4 linked regions of the Caenorhabditis elegans genome follow. The protein of the gene in region 3 interacts with the protein of the main gene of each other region in a pairwise test. Each region holds a gene or a part of one and is shown on either strand. Other genes may lie near its edges.

Region 1 (4,851 bases), on a different chromosome or scaffold from region 3:
CGAAAAAAAGACGCTTCTGGGCCGCTTGGGCAAAATCGACACATGGGGCTCCGTGGAGGTTAACCACCAGACCCCATCCTTTCAAACCTACCTACGAGCCGGACATATTCCCCACCTGACATGGGAAGTTGCTGAGAATCAGCTGAAACTCGAACAAACCCACATTTTTCAAATGACGCTCCCAACGCTGGTGTCAAACGCGAAAATTATCGAGAAATTCGGAAAAGGCGCTGCGAAATTTTGTGGGATGCCTGCAGGCGCGGCGGTTCACCTGACACCGTTTGACCCGCTTGGAAAGCTTCCCGGAGGGTATAATGACTCGAAATCCGTCGCGATTTGGACGGCAAACGGAAAAGTTTCGTTGGATGTTAAAATGTGGCGGGAAATTATTAACTCGTTTGGTTGTGGCTCTATTGAGACTCTTGTCGACTATGATACACCGAAAGATGTTGGACAGAAGAAGCTTGTTAAGGCGGTGGATAGGACGAAAACCTTCCAAGAGCAGCTGTTTCAGCAGGTAGCGAAAAAATCAATTAAAAATTTGAATTTTTCAGGGGAAAAAATGAATGAAAAGCTACATTTTAGCATGAAAATGACTTTTTTTGTGAAAAACTGGTGAAAATTTGGTGAAAATCGGTTGAAACCTGGATTTTTTTCATTTTGGCGCTGCTAAGACTACAAACTACACAATTTTGGGCGCTGCTAATTCAATTTTGGGCGCTGCTTAGACTACAAACTACAATTTTTGGGCGCTGTTAATTCAATTTTGGGCGCTGCTAAGACTACAAACTACAATTTTTTGGGCGCTGCTAATTCAATTTTGGGCGCTGCTAAAGCTACAAACTACAATTTTTGGGCGCTGCTAATTCAATTTTGGGCGCTGCTAAAGCTACAAACTACAAGTTTTGGGCGCTGCTAATTCAATTTTGGGCGCTGCTAAGACTACAAACTACACAATTTTGGGCGCTGCTAATTCAATTTTGGGCGCTGCTTAGACTACAAACTACAATTTTTGGGCGCTGCTAATTCAATTTTGGGCGCTGCTAAAGCTACAAACTACAATTTTCTCGATTTTGAACTGAAAAATGACTTTTTTCCAGCTTTTTTGAAAGTTTTCACAACTTTTCTCCGAAAAAATTGCAAAATAATCGGTGTAAAAGCCTGAATTTTACCAGTTTGGGCGCTGCTTAGACTACAAAAACTACAACTTTTTTGTGTAAAAATCTAAATTTATTGCGATTTTCATAGTTTTTACACCAAATTTTCGCAAATTTTCTAGGACGAAAAAGTGAATGGAGAACGAATTGTGTCGCTGGGCGGTGGTTTCAGCAAGTATCATCGGAGGAAATGTGCAGTTGACGTTGGATTGGCTGAAAATATTGCTGGATACACTGTCGAATTTCGCGAATTCACAGAGGGAAAGGAAACTGACGATAAGGAGATGAAAGAGCTCCTGGAGGAGACTTTTGTTCGTTTTTTCACTGAAAATTTGGCTTTTCTGCGAAAAAAAAATAGATGAAAAGAGCATTTTTAACGATTTTTGAGGCAATTTCCGCTGAAAATTCATAAAAATTCCATTGAAAATCGTGAATTCCCTCGAAATTGCGAAAAAAATCGGCAATTTTGGTTAATTTTGAGCGAAAATGTGATTTTGGGCGCTGCTTAGACTACAAACTACAAGTTTTGGGCGCTGCTTAGACTACAAACTACAAGTTTTGGGCGCTGCTAACTACATAAAACTTCGTTTTCGACCAAAATTTCCTAATTTTTTCTAAAAATCACTTATTTCCGATAGAAATTTCCGATTTTCAAGCCGAAATATGCGAAAGTTCACCGAAAATCACACATTTCTGGGCAATTTTTCATTATTTTCCACCAGAAAATCACTAATTTCTTCAAATTTTTGAATTTTCCATAGAATTTCTGCTTGAAAATCCAAAAACCTGAATTTTTGGCGCTGCTAACCACACAAAAAGCACAATTTCCTCGGATTTTTAACTGAAAATCCCGGATTTCTAGCGGAAATGGTCGATTTTTCCCCAAAAAATCATGCATTTTTTTCCAGAGCCCACTTCCACCTACAAAACTCCGATGTATCTCAGGACCTTTCAACCCAAAAACCGTGCTTTTCCTCGTCCAACAAGGAATCGATCTGTTCGACTCGTCATTTCCAGTTAAATTGGCCGAAGAAGGCCACGCGTTCTGTCTTTCAGACGATTTTCCGACGTCTTCGAAATATGAAGTAGTGGATTTCAATAATGAGAAGTTCGCCGACGATTTTACCGCACTTTTCGACGGATGCGCCTGCTATACGTGCACAAAATACACTAAAGGATACCTACAACACCTTCTGAACACCCGAGAGCTTCTGGCTTCGATTTTATTAGTTATTCATAATATGACAGAGTATGATAAAATGTTTAAGCTTATTCGGAGCTCGTTGGAGAATTCTGAAGGATTGTGATTGGTTTTTTCAAATTTTTTTTGTTGATTTTATATACTCTATTCTTGTTATTTTTTCACTTGTTGGTTTCTTAATTTAATTAAACACCTTTTATTCAGCGTTTTATTGCAATTTTCCCGGTAAAAACTCCGGTTTTTTATATATTTCCTATAATTTTTTCCCTATTTCCCCAAAATTCAGCCTAATTTCCCAGATGTCATCGATTTCCTCCTCCTCATCAAATGTCCGAATGGATCGCCGATTCGATTGGGTTGGACCGCCGGATAATTTATCGAAAATTCGCAAAATTATGTGAGAAAATCCTGAAAAATACGCTGAAAATAAATAATTTTCGCAATTTTTAGCGCTGCCGCACGGAAAAGTGGGCGGAGTTTGGTGACGCAACACCTCCGCGCACTTTTCCATTTGTTAACGAAAACTAGATTTTAATCAATTTTCGTCGGTTTTCAGCGAAATTTTCCCATATTTTTTGCCAAAAATCTGTTTTAAAAATTATAATTATTGATTTTCCAGGCTCCGCCGCGTCGATAATGAGTCGGAACTCGAGCGGCAGTATCGGCTGGCTCGGGAAGAGCTGAATCAGTGGAATTCGGATTTTTGGGCCGAACACAATCAACTGTTCGACCGGCAAAAGTCGGATTTTGTCGAGCGAAAGCAGCAAGAGCTTGGAAGACTGGAACACGTGTCGGCGAACGAGCTCAGCGAGTTTTATCGCGATTTTTTGAATGATCGACACGTGGCGATGATGGCCTATAATAAGTGGGTGAAAATGCGGTGGAAATCGGATAAAATTGATTAAAATTGATGAAAATTCGCGAAAAATCGATTAAAATCCATGAAAATTGCTATTTTTCATGTAAAAAATCAATATTTTCAGAGAATGGTACCGCCGAAACCTGCAACTGATTTGGCCAGCACTCAAAGTCAACGTTGTCCGATTTTTCCGAATGGCGAGGCGTTAATTTGTAGATTTTTTGGGTAGTTTTAGTTGATTTCGTTGCTTTTTCCCCGATAAAAATGGGTTTTTTCTTGATTTTTTATCGTATTTCTTGAATTTTCAACGGGTTTTCCACCCTAATTTTACCTTTTTCAACCTTTTTTCCACTTTTTTGCCAATTTCCGCATTCAGATGGTCGCTGGAAAACGTACTGGAGCCGCGAAGGGCTCACGCCACAACAAGAAATATTGGAGAAAGGGAACGAATATCGATGATATTGAGGATTCGATTCGTAAGTTTATTTTCGAGCGATTGTCGCTGAAAAATCATCGAAATTTCCAGTATTTTGACGAAAAAACCAAAAATTTCCATTAAACATGGTAATTCTTTCAAAATTGCGACAAAAATCGGCGATTTTGGTTAATTTTGAGCGAAAATATGATTTTGGCGCTGCTAAGCTAATTTTAGGCAAAAATTCTCAATTTTTTCACGTTTTTAGGCTAAATTTCACTAATTTTTCCGATTTTCAGACATCAAATCCCGTCAGGCAGCAACTGGAGGTGTCATTTCTGAGATGAAAGACGAAGATCTGTTCATTGTCGATCGTACCGCCACCGCCAACAAGCCAGTCGTGCCGAAACTGACGAAAAAGCAGCAGGCCGCGTTGGAAAAAATCACCAAAAACATCACACAGGAGCATGTCACACTTCCAAAACCATCCACCACATCGAAAATTCTGAAAAAACCCGCCAAATTGCCACGTGGCAACGCGATTTTGGCGCTGAAAAAGGGGCCAAAAGCAGCGGCGCCGGCGGCGAAAAAGAAGAATTTCGACGTTTGGACGACTGATTTGACGCCGAAGATTCCGAAATCTAAGCTTGAGAATCAAGAAGCCGCAGAGCATTTTCTGAAAGTTGTGAAGAAAAAGCAGCCGAAAACGCCAGGAAAATCGATTACAAGTCTGCTTCCAGCAGTACAAATTGCCGAAGGAGGTGCTTCTTATAATCCAGAAAGTGCAGAATATCAGGAATATGTGGCGAAAATTGCCGGAGAAGAACAGAAATTGATTGATCACGAGGCGAAGATTAAAGCCGGAATTGAGCCACAGTGGGAGAAGGTGTGTGTAGGCGTTGAGAAGGAAGAAATTGGCTGGAAATTTGAGAAAAATTGGAGAAAATCCGAGAAAAATGGTCGAAAAATCGAAGAAAATGGCCTAAAAATTGTTGAAATTTAGATTTTGGCGCTGTTTAGACTACAAAAACTACAAAAAGCAGCTGCTACCAAAATTTTTTGGAGCGATTTAAATGGAAATTTAGCGAAAATAGAGAGAAATCCAACTGATTTGCTGAAAAAATTGGCGAAAATCGCAGAAAATAGATGAGAAACAGGAAAATTAGAGAAAAAATTGGCGAAAATTGGTGAAAAACCAGAGAAAATATGAAAAGTCGAC
Region 2 (5,914 bases), 840 kb from region 3:
GTTTCTTGGGCTCAAGTTAATAATCGAAGGGAAAACTTTAACTATGAAGGTGTTTTGTAAAAGTACAAAACAGAATTAATAAACTGTTCAGGTTTTTTAATTGTTCATTTTAGTCGGCAAAACTATTTGAGAGCTTTCCACAAAAAGCTGTTCTACAGTAATTACTAAGTTGTTTACAGATGGAACATTTAGTTGAAACATTACGAAACCTTGTGAAAAATGCATTTTACCACAACTTTACTAGAAAATTTTGAAAGTTCCTGGATCGTTTTCTTATGATTTTTGGCCATACATATTGAACTATTCTATGGTGTATTTAGACATATTTTGTAAATTTGTAAATAGTAATCGCTTATAAATTAAGATTTTTAGCTAAACAGTTTCCAAACATCTATCTGAATAACGTATTCTAATCTCATTAATGATTTAGAAGTACGGTACAGTAAGATAGTGTAAATATCGGGTAATGGATTGAAAGTTTTGGAAATCATCTTTACATGATCACATAACATGAAAAATTTTTGTAGAAGTATGCTTGAAATCAACTCCAAAAATAATTATTATTTTGGATGGATCTGAAACTTTCAAACTTTCACAGTTAATAAAATCTTTAATTCTGAAATTATAAACTTACAATCAGCTTAAACTTGGGTTTGCTTAATCCAAGTACCTACCTAACCTTTGCCTAATTTTGACAACTTCTGAACAAGTTAATATGTTTTGACAAATTTGGCACATAGTTGTCGGGGAGTCAGCCGAAAAATTCTTAGAAGGGATAGTATTTGAATAACATCAAAAGGTCATTTAAAATTGTTTCCAATTCCAATTCGCAATTTCATAGAATGCAACGCAAATTTTGCAAAGAGCCGACATGAAACTCATCATAAATTCCTATCCATTTTCACGCCGGTCGCTCATAATAATTGAACCGCAACAGCCTCACTACGCTCACTCCAATTATAATAAATGAAGCGATTATCGAAATAGTTGACCGAAGAGGGGGAACTTTTCCATTAAAAAATAAGACCGGTAAATAATGGAAAAAAAGAGAAGGTAAAAAATTGCTTCATCTCTGTGTATATAATGATGAATATCCGTTTTTATGAGCGCGTCTCGTATCGAAAAAAAGAAGTGGTGGAGGAAGAAGTTTTTATAGGTCCGGTGTGTCTTTTTATGGGTATCGTGACGCTTTAGGCGCCGAATTTGTCGTAAAAGTACGATGAGGAATCTGTGAGAACATCAAACAGCATTGAAAGAATTTTATTCATTAACCCTTGTATTACCTGATTGTAGAGATTTATATCATTTTAAACAATTTGAAGCGCCAGATCTTAAATTTCCATTTTCTGAGCCAAAGTTTTACTAATCTCGAGCTGATTATCAATAAGATTTTATTAATGACACAAACTTTGTAGAAATATGACATAAACCGAATTATATTAAAATTTCGAGATTCGTGCTGTAGGCATGTATAATGTATGAAGTATGCAATATGCCGATATTTACAAAATAAAACGGCTGTGAACTTGCAAAGTTCTAGATGCCACTTCTCTTGGACTTTGACTTGACCCGGCTACGGCGGCTGCCATTTTGAGATTTTGGAGGATTTTTTCGTTTGTTCATCTCGACCAATTGATCTGAACAATTGACTTTCAACTGAATTATGAAACAGAATTTTCAGTTTCCAATCCATGTTTGAAATTAAATTGAACAATTTGGCCTACAGTAAATGAATTTTTTGAGTCGATTTTTATCAAGAAGATTTTAAAAATTTAAAAATTAGAGCAAATCTAAAAAATCAAAAACCATATGGATGTAAAACTATAATTTTTAACTTGATACTTACCTGCGAAACAAGCATTCATAATTTTTTGGAATCCTTTATTTTTGGTTGGCAAGCTGAAAAATTTGCAATTTGTTGAAATATTTTAATTTCAGAAAGTTTACCCAGACACTCCGAAGCCTTCCATTTTTGATGTTGAGTGAAAAATGCGATAGTGATAACGCATTTGACGGATTGTATGACAAGTGTGCTTGCATTTTTTGCATTTCAGAAAGTTTTTATCGCAATGGACCAATGCGTGATCGATAAGACGAAGTTTTCCATATTTCCTCTTCCACGCAATTGCTCGATTGCAGTTCTGCAACAATCCAGGTAATGGAAAAAAACAAACAGAAAATTTAACTCACCGGGAAATGACATTGAATATTGTGGATTTCATCTTTATTAATCTCGTCGTTTTTGCTGTCTGGAGATTTCATTTCATTCTCATTCAACTGATCTTCATCACCGGATTCGTTGTGATAATCGAAAAATGTAGGACTTCGTAATGGAGTCATCACTGTGGTTCGATCAACATCCATCAATTCTGTTTCATTCATAATAACATCATCATTCGGTGGTAATGACTGATACTCTTCATAATCATCAATATTTCCATCGTTGTCTACACCGTCTTGGAGAAACTCCGACTGTCCAGATGATACAATCGGCGAATTAATACTGAAAAAAAAACGAAATTTAAATTCTTGTGACTAACGGTACCCGGTCTCTCGGCAACCGTTTTTTTTCAGGTTCAAAAGAATGCACCTTTAAGGAGTACTGTAGTTACTAACTTTGTTTTTGCAGAATCCGCATTAATTTTTCCTAGTTTTTCCTCCGTTTCTTCAAAACTTGATGTATTTTAATATACATGATTCAACAAAAAAAATCTGGGAACCACAGTACTTTTTAAAGGCGCACACTTTTTTGAATTAAACTAAAATCGATCTCTAGGGTAAAAATTACAAAATTTTGCATATGGGTAATGTCTAAAACAGGTTCGAAGCTTTGAAAAAACAAGTGAATGAATTTTTAATTTGGACTACGAGAAAATATTCAGCGTAATTTAAGATTCACTGCTAAAAGAGTTTAAATTATTGAAAAAAAAATTTTGTATTAAAAAAAAACGTACTCGTCTCCATCTGCAATATTCGTCGTATGATTGGAAACAACATCTTCGATTATCATATCCATAACTTTTTCCACACTATTATTACTTTCATGTGAACTATTTAGTTCTTCTTCTGGTTCTTGATCATAGCTTTCCTTCAAATCTTCGTTCTCGTCGTTCGGTCCAATTTCGGATATTTTTTCCGAAAGATTCAGTGTGAATTTTTGATATAATCCTACGTTTGGAACGATTGGAGTGGAGAAACGAGGAGTATCGACTGTAGCAGTGTTGATTGAAGATATCGACGTGCTCTCGGTGAGGGAAACAAATGAGCTGCCACCGGCGAATTCATTCTGTAAATCGTAATAGTTTCAAAAACGAATACTCAGCAATGAAAAAAAGATAGGCTTACCAAATATTCAATCAATCCATAATGTTTCAAGTTTTCCAGAGTTTTTCCATAGATTCTGATATTAACAAACGAATTTAAAGAATTTCCATTCATTTATCGTATCTGAAAAAATAATTATTAAACATTTAAATAGGGTCGAGCAACAAAAATAAAGGGAATCACAGCATTAAATATTCAAATTAAAAACAAATAATCTCGTTTTACACGAGGGCCTAGTTTTCCCTCATTCTGCTGTTGCTGCACCATATCGTGCCAGAAGACCCATTTACATGCATGTCATCTGTTATTTCATAATAATCTGGCATGCATCTTTGAAATTAGAAAATTTTCATATTTTAACAAGATATTGACGAGCCTTCTCGTATTTTTTCCGATGGGTCTCGCCGCACAAAAAGTGTATGGTAAATAGGTTTAAACCTAGGTTTTTTTTCAATTTTTTGCTGCTACGCTTTTCTTGTATTTTCAAGAAAAAATCACTTAGTTTTTAGCGAAGTTTGTCGTTTTCTACTCATTTTCCTGTTTAAAATTGTTTTAGATCAGTTTTTTCCATAGTACAATTAACATTTATGATCAAAAATGCATGTTTTACACGAAGAAGGATATTAAAAAAATTTAACAGAAAAATGCAAAGTTAATAAGAAAATTAGCAAAAAACGAAGTAATGTTTTTAAAAAAGGAATGAAGCAGCCGAAAAAGTTAAAGAAAAGTACCATAAACTTTTTGCGCCTCGATGCCCATCTGAATAACTCCGTGTGCCTTTAAGAAGGTATATTAAAATTTAGTGATATCACATATATACAGAACTGAATTTAATAGTCAAAAAAGGTATTATAGATGAAAAACTCGCGGACAAAAAATTTACAAAACAAGTTATTTTTTAATGAAAAACATATTTTATAAGTTTATCTCGACAATAACAAACAAAAAACAAAACAAAACAATGAAACTATTACTAAAAAACATTGCAAATGTTACATGAGTTGACAAATAACACATTGTGCAGAGTCGTAGCGAAAGACGATCAGCGAATTCTGCGAAAACTAAACTTCAGAATAAAATAAAGTATATGGAAAAACCTACTAGAAAAGATCGTGTGATGGTCCTGGAGAGTCTTTATCTACATTCTCATTGTCGACTTCTGGAGTATTTTTCAGCGAGTTTTTACATTTTTTATATCTCCGCGGTTTCCCAATATTTCCGATGATGGAAGAATGTGCTGTAATTACACATTGAATATCAATATTTCATATCTGTCTAATACCTCCGAAGCACTTTTGGAAAAGATCGAAAATCGCCACTTCATCAAATTCGATATTGAACACTCTGAAATAATCGTGTTTTATATAATTTATTGAACAATTGACGGCTTACTTCTGAATATTAAACCCATCACACCTCACTTCTGGATGCATTTTTTGATAGTGATACTTCATTTGGGGATGTGTACTGCAAGAGTATTCACATGTGCGACAAACGAGACACTTTTCATTTTCATGAGTCATTGCATGATCCAGAAGTCGTTGTTTGCCGTATCGAAGTTTCCACGAGAGAATTTGCTTACAACCCTGAAAATAGCTTCTTTTTTTTAAATGTTGTCATATTTCCTGAACATCCTCCCTAAGAAATGGCTCAGATCGGAACTTACTTCGAAATTACATTTAATAATATGATTTTTATTCATTTGCTCGTTTCGCTTGTTAAGACGTTGGACAACTGGAACAGCAAACGAAACTTTTTTCGTCGAAGGAATCGGGCTCTCATCCTCTTCATCATCTTCACTGTTTTCCTCATTCTGCTGTTCTGCCTCATCAATTTCTGTTCCAACTTCTTCATAATTTCCGATCAGCACAGTATCCTCATCATCGAAATCATATTGAAACTCTCCCATGGTATTATGCTGCAAAATATTCAATTAAAAACGAAAATCTCATCATGTTGCGACAATTTACAAATTAGAAATAAAGGAAATCTCTTCAATCCTACCTCAGTTGACAGTTCTATGACTGGATGATGATCAACGATATGATTCCCAATCGAAACTGTTCTTTCTGAATCCGTAGCTTTCAAAACCGGCTTCACGTCCTCAGAAATAGAACTCCTGGGCTCAGTGCAAAGACTTTTTGCTGACAAAAACGATTCATTATCTCCATATTCATTAATTGGTTGTTCATATGAGAATCCATCTTTATCCAGTGGAATTGGTTCGGAGTGTGGCACCATGGTTTCATTTGAGCTTTCAATCGATCTAAAAAACAATGAAATTCTCAAGTATATATTTAATTTTACTGGTTTTTGGCATTATTGGAAGTTTGGTCTGTCTTCAATTGAAAATAGAGTAAGTATATCAACGTTGCTTAATTCGCTATACGAACGGTCAGAATTCTCGTCAGAAAAATTCTTACGTGAGCCGTCTTCTTTTCGTTAACTTTGAAACTGTAGGCTCTATTTTGACAGTTTCTTTGAGACTACTCAGAGTACTCAAACGTCTCGAGCTTCTTCTCTTTCCTTCCTGATATGGAACAATGGAACTAGCTGCTTCAGGAAGTGCTCGATAAAATGACGATTCGAC
Region 3 (5,547 bases):
GATTCCTTGCGGGCATGACGTCTCTTCTTTCCGTCCTTTGGCTTGGCAACGACGGTCTTGGCGGCCTTCTTGGCTCCCTTGGCAGATGGCTTTGGTGGCATGATGAGAATGAACTTGAATCAAGTATGAGGAAATGGTTGGAGAGACACCTATTTATGTAAAAACTGCGGTGGAGGGGCGGAGCTTCCCGCGGGGACACATTACTGAGTGCACACAAAATTCCGAATGTACCGAGGTTAATAGGGGGACAAAGAGAAGTGAGAGAAATGTGTCCTACCAGAGAGTGCGGAATGTTCAAATAGAGGTGTCCCCGCATGAAACTCCGCCCCTCCACCGTAGAAATGAATATAAACAGACAGTTTCGATTCATTCTTCAGATTCGTCTTACGAACACCAATCGCTCATCATGTCTGGACGTGGAAAGGGAGGCAAAGCCAAGACCGGAGGAAAGGCCAAGTCACGCTCATCAAGAGCTGGACTTCAATTCCCAGTCGGTCGTCTTCACCGTATTCTTCGCAAAGGAAACTATGCTCAACGTGTTGGAGCCGGAGCCCCAGTCTACTTGGCCGCTGTTCTTGAATATCTCGCTGCTGAGGTTCTCGAGTTGGCCGGTAACGCTGCCCGTGACAACAAGAAGACCCGTATCGCCCCAAGACATCTTCAACTCGCTGTCCGCAACGACGAGGAGCTCAACAAGCTTTTGGCCGGAGTGACCATCGCCCAAGGAGGAGTTCTTCCAAACATCCAAGCCGTTCTTCTCCCAAAGAAGACTGGAGGAGATAAGGAGTAAGAACTTTCTTCTTTAAACAAACCCACCGAACCCAACGGCCCTCTTTAGGGCCACAAATATAAAAAATCCTAAAGATATTTCATATTACATTTATTTTGAATAATATGTTTGCTTGAATTCAATCAGTATTACTGTCAATAAGTTTTCACATGTTTTCGAGCCAAGATATCGGTCAGGAAACGACATTTAGAAATTGCAGAATTATGATCACTATGTAATGTGGCCAATTGCCTATCAAGCCTCAAGTATCGAAAAGTTGCATGTCGCAAGCTGGAATTGCCAGCGTTTTCAGAAATTTGCGTTCATTAATTCTAATTTCGAATTCATCTTTTTAGGCTGGAGGCATCTTCCATATCGTAAATCATTGTACCCGGCTGTATAAAAATTTTGATATCTGAAACCAGAAAATTATCAGCTTATCAGAAGAATTTAATTTGAAAAATTTTTCAGAGTCATGTTAAAAAGATTTTTTAAATCAACCAGTTCATGATTTGGTAAAGTTAATTCAAGCAATATACATGTTGAACATAAACAAAATATTCGAGGGTCATGGTGAGTTGGAGGAATGGAAAATAAAATAGGGGAAAGTTAGTTGATATATTTAACAGGAACCACTTAGTTATTCAGATAGATATATACAAAAACTTATGCACATTATAACTAATTATTGGACAAATGAATTCACTCTTCATCCAGTTCGAATGTTTCGAGGAACGAGATTAGGTCGTCGACAAGCACCATTCCATTTCTCAACGAGACCATATCGTTTTCGACCTCGAATTCATGAAATTCGACTGGCTCTTCGACAATCTGCACTCGTCGGTTCATGCACTTCACCGTTTGCTCCAATTCGATGTACTGAAAACGTTATAAATTGGAAACCGATAAATTATTGCTATTCAACTCACTCTATATCTCCGGAAAGGATCCCTGGCGCTCGAGTTGTTATTGTACACGATCCTCGTTTCCACGTGGCGCTTTCCTCGAATCGAACACGTGATTGATGCAGTCGAGGCCATCAGTCGGCCTTGTGAATCGAGTCCTGGCTCGAGATTTCCGTATTCCCGGCAGTTTGTTGTTCGCAGGCGACGAGTGGTAGTCTGAAATATGAAAAGTTATCGGTGTGAAATAGAAAACTATTTTACGTACACTCTTGCTCTGTGATCGGATCAATGTTGCCACCACAAAGCTGTCTGTCATCTGGAAGCCTTCGATTTCCATCTCCAGTTTTTCGAGAATTGCAAACAATTGCTGGAACGGCATTGCAGTCTTTGCCTGGATCGCAAATCGAACCACATTTTGACCCGTCTCTTTCGGCTCGGCCAGGAGGGAAGTCTGAAATAAAAAAATTTTTTTGGGAAAAATATACTCAAGAAACTAACTAGAATCAGACTGGAGATATCTTCGGCCGAAAGCATGCGGCACTGAGCGGCGAAATAGTGTGGTCGCTGGTTCGGATGAAGGAGCACGTGCTCGACAAGCGCTTTCTCCGATTCTCTGGTCGTGTTGAACCATCTTTGCGAGAAGAAGTCGTAGCGCTTGAGACGGAGATTTTCAATCGGCATTGTTTGAATGTCTCTTAGCACTTTGACAGCTTCATCGCGGATGATTGCCTTGCTCGGCTTCTTGTCGACGAGCTTTGGAGTTTCATCGATACGATGCAGGGAACGGTAGTTCTTATCCTCGACGAGCTCCACGTCTTCTCCATGCCCTTCGATAATTGCATCATGATTGATGTTGGGTTGTGGTGGGAGGGCTGAGCAACCGGCTCGAGCGGTTTCCAATTGATATTCATCGGTGTAGTTGGCCACGTATTTGGTCGCCGTCAATTCGCGAAGAACGGTACGGGACGGAGCTGACATTCTAAAAAACGTTGGTTTGAAAAATTAATGGAAAAATAAGAATTCGAAGCAAAAATTAAAGATAAAACTTTAAAAAAAACAATGTACTCAAGTGATTAACAGATTAATAATGCTTCACCGATAAAACAATATTTATGAAATTTCATTACGGCTCTCTGAACATCAGCAAAGTAGAAGAATGTTCACAATCAAAAATTTTCGTTGGGCCTAAAATAACACAATTGTTGCGCTGACTTTTCGCGGGGGAGATCGAATAGGTCAAATAGGCGATGCATTCATAAAAAGTACAATACTTATTGAAAAATAATTTTGGATTTGTTTTCTTTTTTTTTTGTTGAAAAATTAACGCGATTGAAAGTTTTTAATCATTAAATCAAGATTTAAATATCATGATATATCAGAAAACAACAAAAATCAGTTTTAGAATTTTTTTGAGCCTACCGTACTCTTTAAAGGCGCATGGCGATTTTCAGATGGGTCTCACTACGACATGCGTGAAATTTGAATGTTGATTCAAAAACTGTTCGTTTTTTTTCTTTTTTTAGAACCAAAGCTTAACAAACGCTTTTTCTCATGTTTTAAACGCGTTTTGCTCGTTTCTTCGCACAAATAAATTATTTCAGAAGGTTTTGCAATGGGGGTCATCATCCCCGCTGTACTTCTCGCTATGGCGACTGTGATCGCTTGGCTTCTCTACAAACATTTGAGAATGCGTCAAGTTTTGAAGGTCAGATTGCAAAATGCATTCAAAGATAACTCAAATAAATTTCCAGCACCTCAATCAGCCACGATCATATCCAATCGTTGGTCACGGACTCATCACCAAGCCCGATCCAGAGGGATTCATGAACCAAGTGATTGGAATGGGATATTTGTATCCAGATCCACGGATGTGTCTTCTCTGGATTGGCCCATTTCCATGTCTGATGCTCTACTCTGCCGATCTTGTTGAACCAATTTTCTCATCGACGAAACATCTGAACAAAGGGTTCGCATACGTTTTGCTCGAGCCATGGCTTGGAATCAGTATTTTGACGAGCCAAAAGGAACAATGGCGTCCAAAACGAAAACTATTGACACCAACATTCCATTATGATATTCTCAAGGATTTTTTGCCGATTTTTAACGAGCAATCAAAGATTTTGGTTCAGAAATTGTGTTGCCTCGGAGCAGAGTAAGAATTTTAATTGATAACTCGTTCAAATGTTTCTTTTCAGTGAAGAAGTTGATGTTCTCTCCGTTATAACCCTTTGCACTCTTGACATCATTTGCGAAACCTCTATGGGGAAAGCTATTGGTGCTCAACTCGCGGAGGTTGGGTAAACAACTCGAATCTCAAAATTTCTAAATACTTTTTCAGAATAACGAGTATGTATGGGCGGTGCACACAATCAATAAACTGATTTCAAAAAGAACAAATAATCCGTTGATGTGGAATTCATTTATTTATAATTTGTACGGTAGTTTTATCATTAATAAGGTGAATTAATTTGTAATTTTCAGAACAGAGGACGGACGGACTCATGAAAAATGTCTTCGTATTCTCCATGATTTCACAAAGAAAGTGATTGTCGAGAGAAAGGAAGCTCTACAGGAGAATGATTATAAGATGGAAGGTCGTCTCGCATTTTTGGATCTTCTTCTCGAAATGGTGAAAAGTGGACAAATGGACGAAACAGATGTTCAAGCAGAAGTTGACACATTTATGTTTGAGGGTCACGATACAACATCTACAGGATTAATGTGGGCAATTCATCTTCTGGGAAATCATCCTGAAGTTCAGAGAAAAGTTCAAGCGGAACTGGATGAAGTAATGGGCGACGATGAGGACGTGACTATTGAACATCTCTCCAGAATGAAATATCTCGAATGTGCACTAAAAGAAGCTCTGCGTCTCTTTCCATCTGTTCCAATTATTACAAGAGAACTGAGTGATGATCAAGTCATTGGAGGTGTTAATATTCCAAAAGGAGTCACTTTTCTTCTCAACCTGTACCTTGTTCACCGTGATCCTGCTCAATGGAAGGATCCTGATGTATTCGACCCGGATCGCTTCCTTCCTGAAAACTCAATTGGTCGCAAATCATTCGCCTTTATCCCATTCTCAGCTGGAAGCCGTAACTGCATTGGCCAACGTTTTGCACTCATGGAAGAGAAGGTCATCATGGCTCATTTGTTGAGAAATTTCAATATAAAAGCTGTCGAATTGATGCATGAGGTAAGAATTGGAAACACCGCCGATTAGCTTTTTTTGTATGACTAGGCAAAATAAGCTATGTTTCAATCCAAAACTTTGAAAATTATTGCAATATCTATTTTCTCGCAGAAATGTTTTCATTTCGCTATTTTAAACGGCTCTCGGTGTCGATATACAAAAGAAATTGCAAAATGAGCAAATTCCAGCGAGGAAATAAAATTACAGTAGTTTTCAATGTTTTTGATTTTAAAAAAAGCTTATCTTGCTCTCTTATCCCCAATAGACGTACTTGAAAAATAGAGAATGTAAAAATAAAATTCTAATTAAAAAGTATTCAGGTCCGCCCGAAAATGGAGATCATCGTTCGCCCGGTCACTCCAATTCACATGAAGCTCACCAGACGTCGTCCCATCGTCTCTCCATGATTTGAAACTAATTTGAAAATTTGTAAACAGCTAGTTTTATAGTTTTATTCGAGATTATATTTTTTTTTATTGCATGATAAATTGTAAATTGCACTCGTATTAATGATTTAATTGAAAATATCCTAAAAATGATATAGTTGTGATTTCATCTTCATCTGATTTCATCTGAAGTGGTGTAAATCAAGCACAAGAACCGATTTTCAAGTTCGAAGCTTCAATTGACGCACACCGTGTCTGTCCTATGATTTTCTAGCGAGAATTTATGAATTTTAT
Region 4 (6,997 bases), on a different chromosome or scaffold from region 3:
GCCGCCGCTCGCACTTGGCGCTTTACCTGTGCAGTTGGGAGAGCGTACGACTGAAGATCGTAAGGTCACCAGTTCGATCCTGGTTTGGGGCAATCTATTTTTACTTTTTTGGTATTCTTATATAAACTTGGTAATTTTAAGACTCTCTACATTGCTTGGACCACACAAAGAGCTATTCTTTGATAGGATATGTCGGGCAGCCGATATACAAAGGGCATCTTTGAAAAATCGTTTGAAATCAAATATAAATGTAGGATATTTTTTAAATTCAATTTTCCAATATTTTTGACTAATAGTAAGATTGCAATTTTCCAGAAATTCGAGCCCAGCACACCTCTGTCGTTTCAACCGGGATTCGATTCTCAGAGCTCTCTTTCAACGACTTCAGAGAGCCAAAATTTTGTGGTGACCCCAACAACTCTTAGCAGTTTATTGAACAATCACACAGTAAGTTTTTATGAGATTGTCGTAGTAGGTAGGCCCGTGCCCATATTATCATAACAAGTCTACCTGACCTACCTGACTATTACACATTTTCTGCATTTTGAGGCCACTTTAGATGATAACTTTAGATGTAGATGTAAACCTTTAGATGTAAACCAACTGAGATAATAACAAATAAGTAGGTCTTGTAGTGTAGCAGTAGGTAGGCACAAGGAAGGTATTATATGCCTACGTCGATGTTATACTGGTTTAATTATCAAATCTTTTAATTTTCAATAAATAATTTAAGCGGAAGAATCACATTGAAATGCTGGCTCCACTAGCGTCCGAAGAGGAGTTGATGAGATTTCCTGCGGAACGACAGTTTGATCTAATGCAAATTGGATTTAGTTACGATGAAGTGAAGCAGTTGCTGGAAATGTTTGAAAAATTCAAGAATGACGTTCAAGAGATTAACAGGCTTCATACATTGACACAGGTGAGGAATAACGGTTACTGCAGAGAAACGAGAGTGTATGTATTCTTTGGATTTGGTTGAAGGCACCTAATTCAGATTCTCTGGATTAATTGTTCCTAAAAAATATTTTTGAGATCCTGAATCAATTTTGCAACTACATCTCAATGTACGCACCACCCAATCTGAAAATGATATCATCGGCGTTCAATTTGCTAGAACTTGGAAACTCAGCTCATGAAGTGAAAAGGGTTTTACTGAAAGCGGTAATCTAAATATTCCATCAAAAAATATAACTAAATGAAATTTTTATAGCGTCGTCGTGAAGAATCAGAAGAATCAGATGTTTCATTTTCCAAAAAGCCACGTCCTTCTTCTAGATCTCCTGCATCTCCAAATCGAGATGATCTATTGTTGGGACTCGATCGTTCTCCGCCCAGCGATGATGGAACTCAGAAAGTTTGAAATTGAAATTGATGAATATGAAACACACTTTTATTATATTTAAGCACTTACCTCGGTTTTGGATGATTTCAAACGTTTTTCTACTGATGCTCCACTTTTAATTCAGTTCTCAATTTCTACAGATTTATTATTATTATTATATCAATATTAAGCAAACCAGTAAGCTCGAAATACAACATGCAGAGGACGGATGAATTCTGACCATTTTACAATTAAAAAGCGAAACATATGAAAAGAATATAGTGCACAATTAAAAAAAGAAGTGAAAGAGACCTAAAGCCGAGTACAGTACTTTTTTGTTGATATACGCCTAGTGACTTCATCAATACTGACAAATGATCGAGTGGGGAATCTAATTAAACAACAAGTTTAGAGCTTCGTAGCCATTATGAACATGACACCTTCTCCGTCCAAAACGTATTTCTTTGCATTGGCAACATCAAGACCAACAGATACAAGAGCATCAAGAATCATCTGTTCACTGAGATTGAGGAGATGGAAGATTGTCTGTAAATTTTGATTTTTTTTGTTGGCATATACATACGAGTATTTTGGCTACGAATTTTAATGCAGGTCTATTTATACAGTTGGGTCTCGCCGCGCGAAAAAACAATCATATGTTTTTTTTTTAAATTTTGTACAAAGTTTGGAAATATGCTAAGAGCGGGTAAAAGTAAGAGGAAGTAAAAAGAAAAACAAGAAACATCCTCGAGAAAACGGTTTATCGGTTTTTCCTTTAATTTTAAGTACAGTAACATGTTAGTCTTGCGGCCCCACTGCTCCGTTTTCGAAGTTAATGTATCGCTTAAACGTCTAATATTTCAGAAAAAAAAAATACTAGCACTGTTTCAAAAAGATATGTTCTATCACAAGTCTGAATTTGTATCCTTCAATCCTCATTCCCATCGCCTAAAACCAATAAAACTTCTCTAGCTATCATATATACCTGCATCATTGACGCAATCACACAAACTGACCCCGTTAAAATCGCAAGAGCACAGATCAAATTACCAGATCAATTGGCCCTTTCCTACCTTTCTTCCCGAGTTGTACTCATCGTCCTCGAGCACCGAACCAAGCACAAAACGACCGCCGGAACGGAGATGTCTCATCTGGAATCACACAAAATCAAAACACATTTTGATTTCACTTTTTCTCATTTCAAACTATCAAATCTGGTGCCATTCAGTCGTTGGCTCATTCTCATTTCTTTTTTTTCCGAAAAACGACACACTTTACATCTTGGAAAAGATGAAAGACATCTGTTTCTAAACTCTTTTTTTTTTCATTTTCTTCGTTGGCACCGTGAAAATTGGATATAAGATAGACAGAGAAATAGAGAACGGGTGTAAAGGGGAAGTGAACACTGATTGTGAAGAGATATAGGAATATGAAAAGAAAGTTATGACGAAGTTGTTACTGGAGAATAAAATAGATCGAATTACACTTACAATAACTCTTTGAGCTAGTAGTTTACTGTAGTTTACAATTTTATTGTTCTCTATTCGAAAGAAATTCGTGTTTTGAACTTAGAAATGGAGAAAAAGAAATGTGAACCAAGATCTATCTTCAGTACTGGGATTTCAGAAACTATTTTAGAAGAGACGTGTAAAATAACCTTAATGGCATAATCAAGCTCCTAAAACGAACGATATGCTTAAGCCTAAGCCTAAACCGCAAAAATCCATTTAGACTTACCATATTAGTGACACATTTACAATACTCTTCATAGTTGCGACAAGCACTTTCTAACGTGAAGATCGACACCAGGATATCCACCTTCTTCCCAGCCAATTCAGGGACCACATCCATCTGGTGAACATCTGCGAAATGAATTCCACCAGACTTGACCAATCCGCGGGCTTTTTCTTCAACATCAATGCATACTTGATCTGTTGGAGTGGGACCTCCTTCCGTTCGGTTGATCACTTTGATAGTTGGCACCCAGTCAATAGTCTCCTCGTGGCGGATCCATTTTCTCAGAACGTCAAGGTTCCGATCGACAAAATCTGATAAGTGAACACGCTTTGCCACATCACGGAAACAAAGAGCCGAATAGACGGTTGGTCCTGCTCCAATATCCAGAAGAGTTTCACGTTCAGAAGGTCGCATAGTTTGGAGCATAAGTTGGGCGAAGACAGGAAGTGCGAATAGGGAAACACGGGTTCCATCTTCAATAGCATCTCTGGAAATGAGAAATGAAATTTTGGATATATATGGAATGTCTGATGTTTATACTCTCTCCCTTGGATTGTTCGTTCCTTGTCAGACAGGTACTTGACTTGATAGCACCCAAAAATGTGTCGTCTCATTTTCAAAAGTTTAGAGTCTAAGAGCCAATGATGCCTCCCTCCTCTTTTCTCAGTTTTTTCGATCTCTTGACACAAAAGATCCTCTCCTACTCAAAAAGAGAAAAAGGTAACCGATCTGCGACCGATTTCGTGTGCAGCAGCAACAGGAGCAAAGCCAAAGCAAGCCGGGGATAAGAGGTTTTGTTTGTGAACAAACCACTCGTTTTTGTGTCAAAAATGAAGTGAACGGTATCGAGAGCGGATAGAAAGTGCAAATCGGGATCGAAAGTTCTAGAAATTGAAGCCCGTTATTTATGAAAAATGTTTCTTCCAAGTTTTGTGGCGGCAACCTCGCGCGCAAGATTATAACAACCGACATAATACTGGATTCAAAACATTAAAAAATTGCGGCAACCGACATTTTACGGGTTTCATAACCAATTTCTGGAAAATGGTAGCTTGACATGTTTGTTGAAGCAGCCTACATGATAAGGGGCTCAGAAAGTGTTCATTGGTGGGAGGCCGACATCTCATGGGTTACATCGAACGGTCGTTGCGACATATCAAAGATTTCTGACTAACCTGCTGAAATAAAACTGCAAATACTCATCAGGATCGAACTTCTTGACGTAGTCCTCAGGCAAAAGTACAGTATGCTGGGCATCCGATGATTCCGTAATGGTAGGGTCGATGAGAGTAGACATGACGAGGTATAAATAAGAGATTAAACGACACTGAAAATATTTTAATTTTTTTGAGTCCAAATTTTTGAAAAAAAAAATCAGAAATATAACAAGGAAACAAAGCACTTTTAAAAGTCTATGTATATCTCTATTTTCTTCCGCTTTTCACATGTTTGTTTTTCCCTCAAAATCTCCAAAATTCTTAAGTTTACTCCTTTTTTCCAGAAAAACTCTAATATTTAAGTGATAACACCCACGCAGAGTGCAATTAAATATCGATACAACAATTCATTATCATCATCAAATAACAAACAATTAACAAATGAGGCATCGACACTCTCGAAGTAGCACAAAAATTGAGTGAGGTGGCTCTTGCACAGAGAGCGAGAGCATAAGTGTGTGCTCTGGCTCCGCCTATTTTTTCGGAGCTCTGGGAGAGAAGGATAGAGAGAGAGAGAGGGAAGAAGGGATTTCCCGAGGCTCCCGGCAGGAAGTGTTGGGAGCCAGACAGTGGGAGCAGGCACAGAGTACGAAGAGCAAAGTGGAAAGATGGGAAACAACAAATTATGTTATGAGGAAGTTTTTTGGCAGATTGGTTATGAAACTTTGCAGAACTTTAATGCGTTACTGTAAATTTAAGGGAAAGTAGGTTCCATCGAGCGTACTTACGAAAATTGTACTGTAGCTCACTATCAGTACACTGTACTTTCGAAACATTTTTCTGGATTTCATCTTTCTGGAATTTTTGAATTTTCAATATGGAAAAAATGTACTTAAACTTCATTCGAAAATTATATGACTTCAAAGGAATAGGGAGGTTAATCGAAAAGTTACTGAAGTTTTCGAATTTTTGTTGGCCATTTTGCTTACACAAGTGCGCCCCACTTCACACTGATGTCTCTTTTGAAAATATAATAATAAGTCAATCGAAAAATACCGATTGTGTGAATTTTTCTATACTGTCCCTATTCCCCCTTTCATCTCCCCCCATTGACCACTTCTCCCCATCCCCTCCTCCTATTATGCGTAACACCCGGCATGTCTAGGCCACGAAAGTTGTGGTTCGTCGTGCAGTCATGTCCGAGTGGTTAAGGAGATTGACTAGAAATCAATTGGGCTCTGCCCGCGTAGGTTCGAATCCTGCTGACTGCGTTAAATTTTTTTCAATTTTTTCGCACATTTTTTTCGTTGTAACTTCGAAATTGTACAAAATGAAAATATACTTGATAATAAACCAAAACGTGCAGTCATGTCCGAGTGGTTAAGAATGTCCGAGTGGTTAAGGAGTTTGACTCGAAATCAAATGGGCTCTGTCCGCGTAGGTTCGAATCCTGCTGACTGCGAATCTTTTTGAATCTCGTCAGTCGATGTAACTTTTGTATCGAAACCATTTGGAGAAAAACGATGGAGGAGGAAAGGGCGTGTTGACATTATTTTATTTATCGAAAAACTGAAAATTCTTGTTCACACGAGACCAGGCCACATATTTTCACAATGCGTCATATCAGTTGGGGGCATTGAATCATTGTTCTTCAATATTTTTATCAGTTATTCTTCAATGAATGCACCTGGGATTCCATACCTATCATCATTATGAGTGTTGAAATATTGTTTCGTCCTCTCTTCCAATCATCTTCTCTTGTTGTTAGTTCCAATGCCTCTCCTTCCTCTCATATGTTCTAACACTTCTTGTGAGACAGACAGTTGGCATAGAGTTCCTCGACGCAGATACCTATACAGTTACAACACTATTTGCCCTGGGGCGTACTTACATTGATTTTCTTCACTTTTCTTAACTATTTAACATACTTTTTTTAAGATGGGCTTCATCTCATTATTGATTTTTCACCCTAGAGAAACCAATTCAGTACTTCGGAGACTATAGAACTTTTCTAACTTTCCGAAGTTTTAAACGGAAATATTGGAATCCACGTTATTTTCTAATTGCCTCAAACTGAAACTATCTGAAATTTTTATTTTCAAAGAAACTAAAAAAGCAATTTTAGTATCTGAATTTTTGGATGTTGTTCTTACTTGACGGAAAGAAAATACGTGCAATACGTTCATGTGCAGACAACGGTCTTTTTTCAGAAATGAATAATAGTTGCTAGTATTATTTTTTTCTTAAACTTCCAGGCTAATTTCACCTACAAAAATTCCAAAAAATAGCAATGGGTGGATTTTCGATATTTTCGCGAAACACGAAGCCCATTTACGCAAAAGTGAGCACAATGGATGCTGATTTGGAGAAGATTGTAATTGAGAAAACATGGACAGGAAGACATTTATTTGAAGCAGTTTGTCGAATTATTGGATTACGGGAAACTTGGTATTTTGGACTACAGTTCACAAATAAAAAGAATATTCCATGTTGGTTACAGAATGATAAAACTGTGAGTTTTTGTTGAATACATTTTTGGGGATACGGTATTTCCAACAATAAAACCAAATTCTAATTATCAAATTAAAATATTTTGGGAAAAATAATTTCTCTGAAAATAATTAATTTTTGAAATTTTCCAGATCTGTGGCCAAGACATCCAAAAAGACACATCTGATGGAACTTTTAATTTCTTATTTCTTGTCAAATTCTATCCAGAAGACGTGGAACCTGAGATTATTCTAGATGCCACTAGACATTTGTTCTTTTTACAAATACG

What was found.
Region 1: the proteins of memi-3 (region 3) and Y39B6A.34 interact in a two-hybrid assay, tested with the Caenorhabditis elegans proteins (one large-scale study listed by BioGRID).
Region 2: the proteins of memi-3 (region 3) and him-8 interact in a two-hybrid assay, tested with the Caenorhabditis elegans proteins (one large-scale study listed by BioGRID).
Region 4: the proteins of memi-3 (region 3) and anmt-2 interact in a two-hybrid assay, tested with the Caenorhabditis elegans proteins (one large-scale study listed by BioGRID).

The regions. Positions count from the first base shown.
Region 1 is NC_003283.11:18,998,363-19,003,213, forward strand, and holds Y39B6A.34 (COA8 family protein Y39B6A.34, mitochondrial), read left to right. Parts: upstream 1-2,655; 5' UTR 2,656-2,657; coding exon 2,658-2,755; intron 2,756-2,977; coding exon 2,978-3,223; intron 3,224-3,341; coding exon 3,342-3,426; 3' UTR 3,427-3,494; downstream 3,495-4,851. Other genes in the region: tgt-2 (Queuine tRNA-ribosyltransferase accessory subunit 2), read left to right, coding at 1-517, 1,280-1,468, 2,066-2,464; nol-53 (Ribosome biogenesis protein NOP53), read left to right, coding at 3,594-3,693, 3,932-4,518. UniProt on the Caenorhabditis elegans protein: May be required for cytochrome c complex (COX) assembly and function, COX being the terminal component of the mitochondrial respiratory chain.
Region 2 is NC_003282.8:10,559,438-10,565,351, reverse strand, and holds him-8 (C2H2-type domain-containing protein), read right to left. Parts: upstream 3,448-5,914; 5' UTR 3,439-3,447; coding exon 3,346-3,438; intron 3,287-3,345; coding exon 2,955-3,286; intron 2,504-2,954; coding exon 2,191-2,503; intron 2,142-2,190; coding exon 1,948-2,141; intron 1,900-1,947; coding exon 1,847-1,899; intron 1,638-1,846; coding exon 1,537-1,637; 3' UTR 1,378-1,536; downstream 1-1,377. Other genes in the region: zim-3 (C2H2-type domain-containing protein), read right to left, coding at 4,367-4,385, 4,426-4,561, 4,607-4,668, 4,717-4,910, 4,991-5,242, 5,329-5,590, 5,748-5,914.
Region 3 is NC_003282.8:11,400,686-11,406,232, forward strand, and holds memi-3 (MEiosis-to-MItosis transition associated), read right to left. Parts: upstream 2,654-5,547; 5' UTR 2,653-2,653; coding exon 2,173-2,652; intron 2,126-2,172; coding exon 1,940-2,125; intron 1,891-1,939; coding exon 1,699-1,890; intron 1,649-1,698; coding exon 1,472-1,648; 3' UTR 1,260-1,471; downstream 1-1,259. Other genes in the region: his-66 (putative histone H2B 4), read right to left, coding at 1-101; his-65 (Histone H2A), read left to right, coding at 407-790; cyp-31A2 (CYtochrome P450 family), read left to right, coding at 3,287-3,379, 3,426-3,826, 3,870-3,966, 4,013-4,107, 4,156-4,870, 5,188-5,274.
Region 4 is NC_003281.10:6,153,371-6,160,367, forward strand, and holds anmt-2 (Nicotinamide N-methyltransferase), read right to left. Parts: upstream 4,389-6,997; 5' UTR 4,359-4,388; coding exon 4,237-4,358; intron 3,549-4,236; coding exon 3,062-3,548; intron 2,476-3,061; coding exon 2,398-2,475; intron 1,871-2,397; coding exon 1,733-1,870; 3' UTR 1,474-1,732; downstream 1-1,473. Other genes in the region: rotr-1 (Nbl1_Borealin_N domain-containing protein), read left to right, coding at 142-250, 316-447, 734-922, 1,036-1,164, 1,214-1,363; nfm-1 (FERM domain-containing protein), read left to right, coding at 6,509-6,730, 6,861-6,997.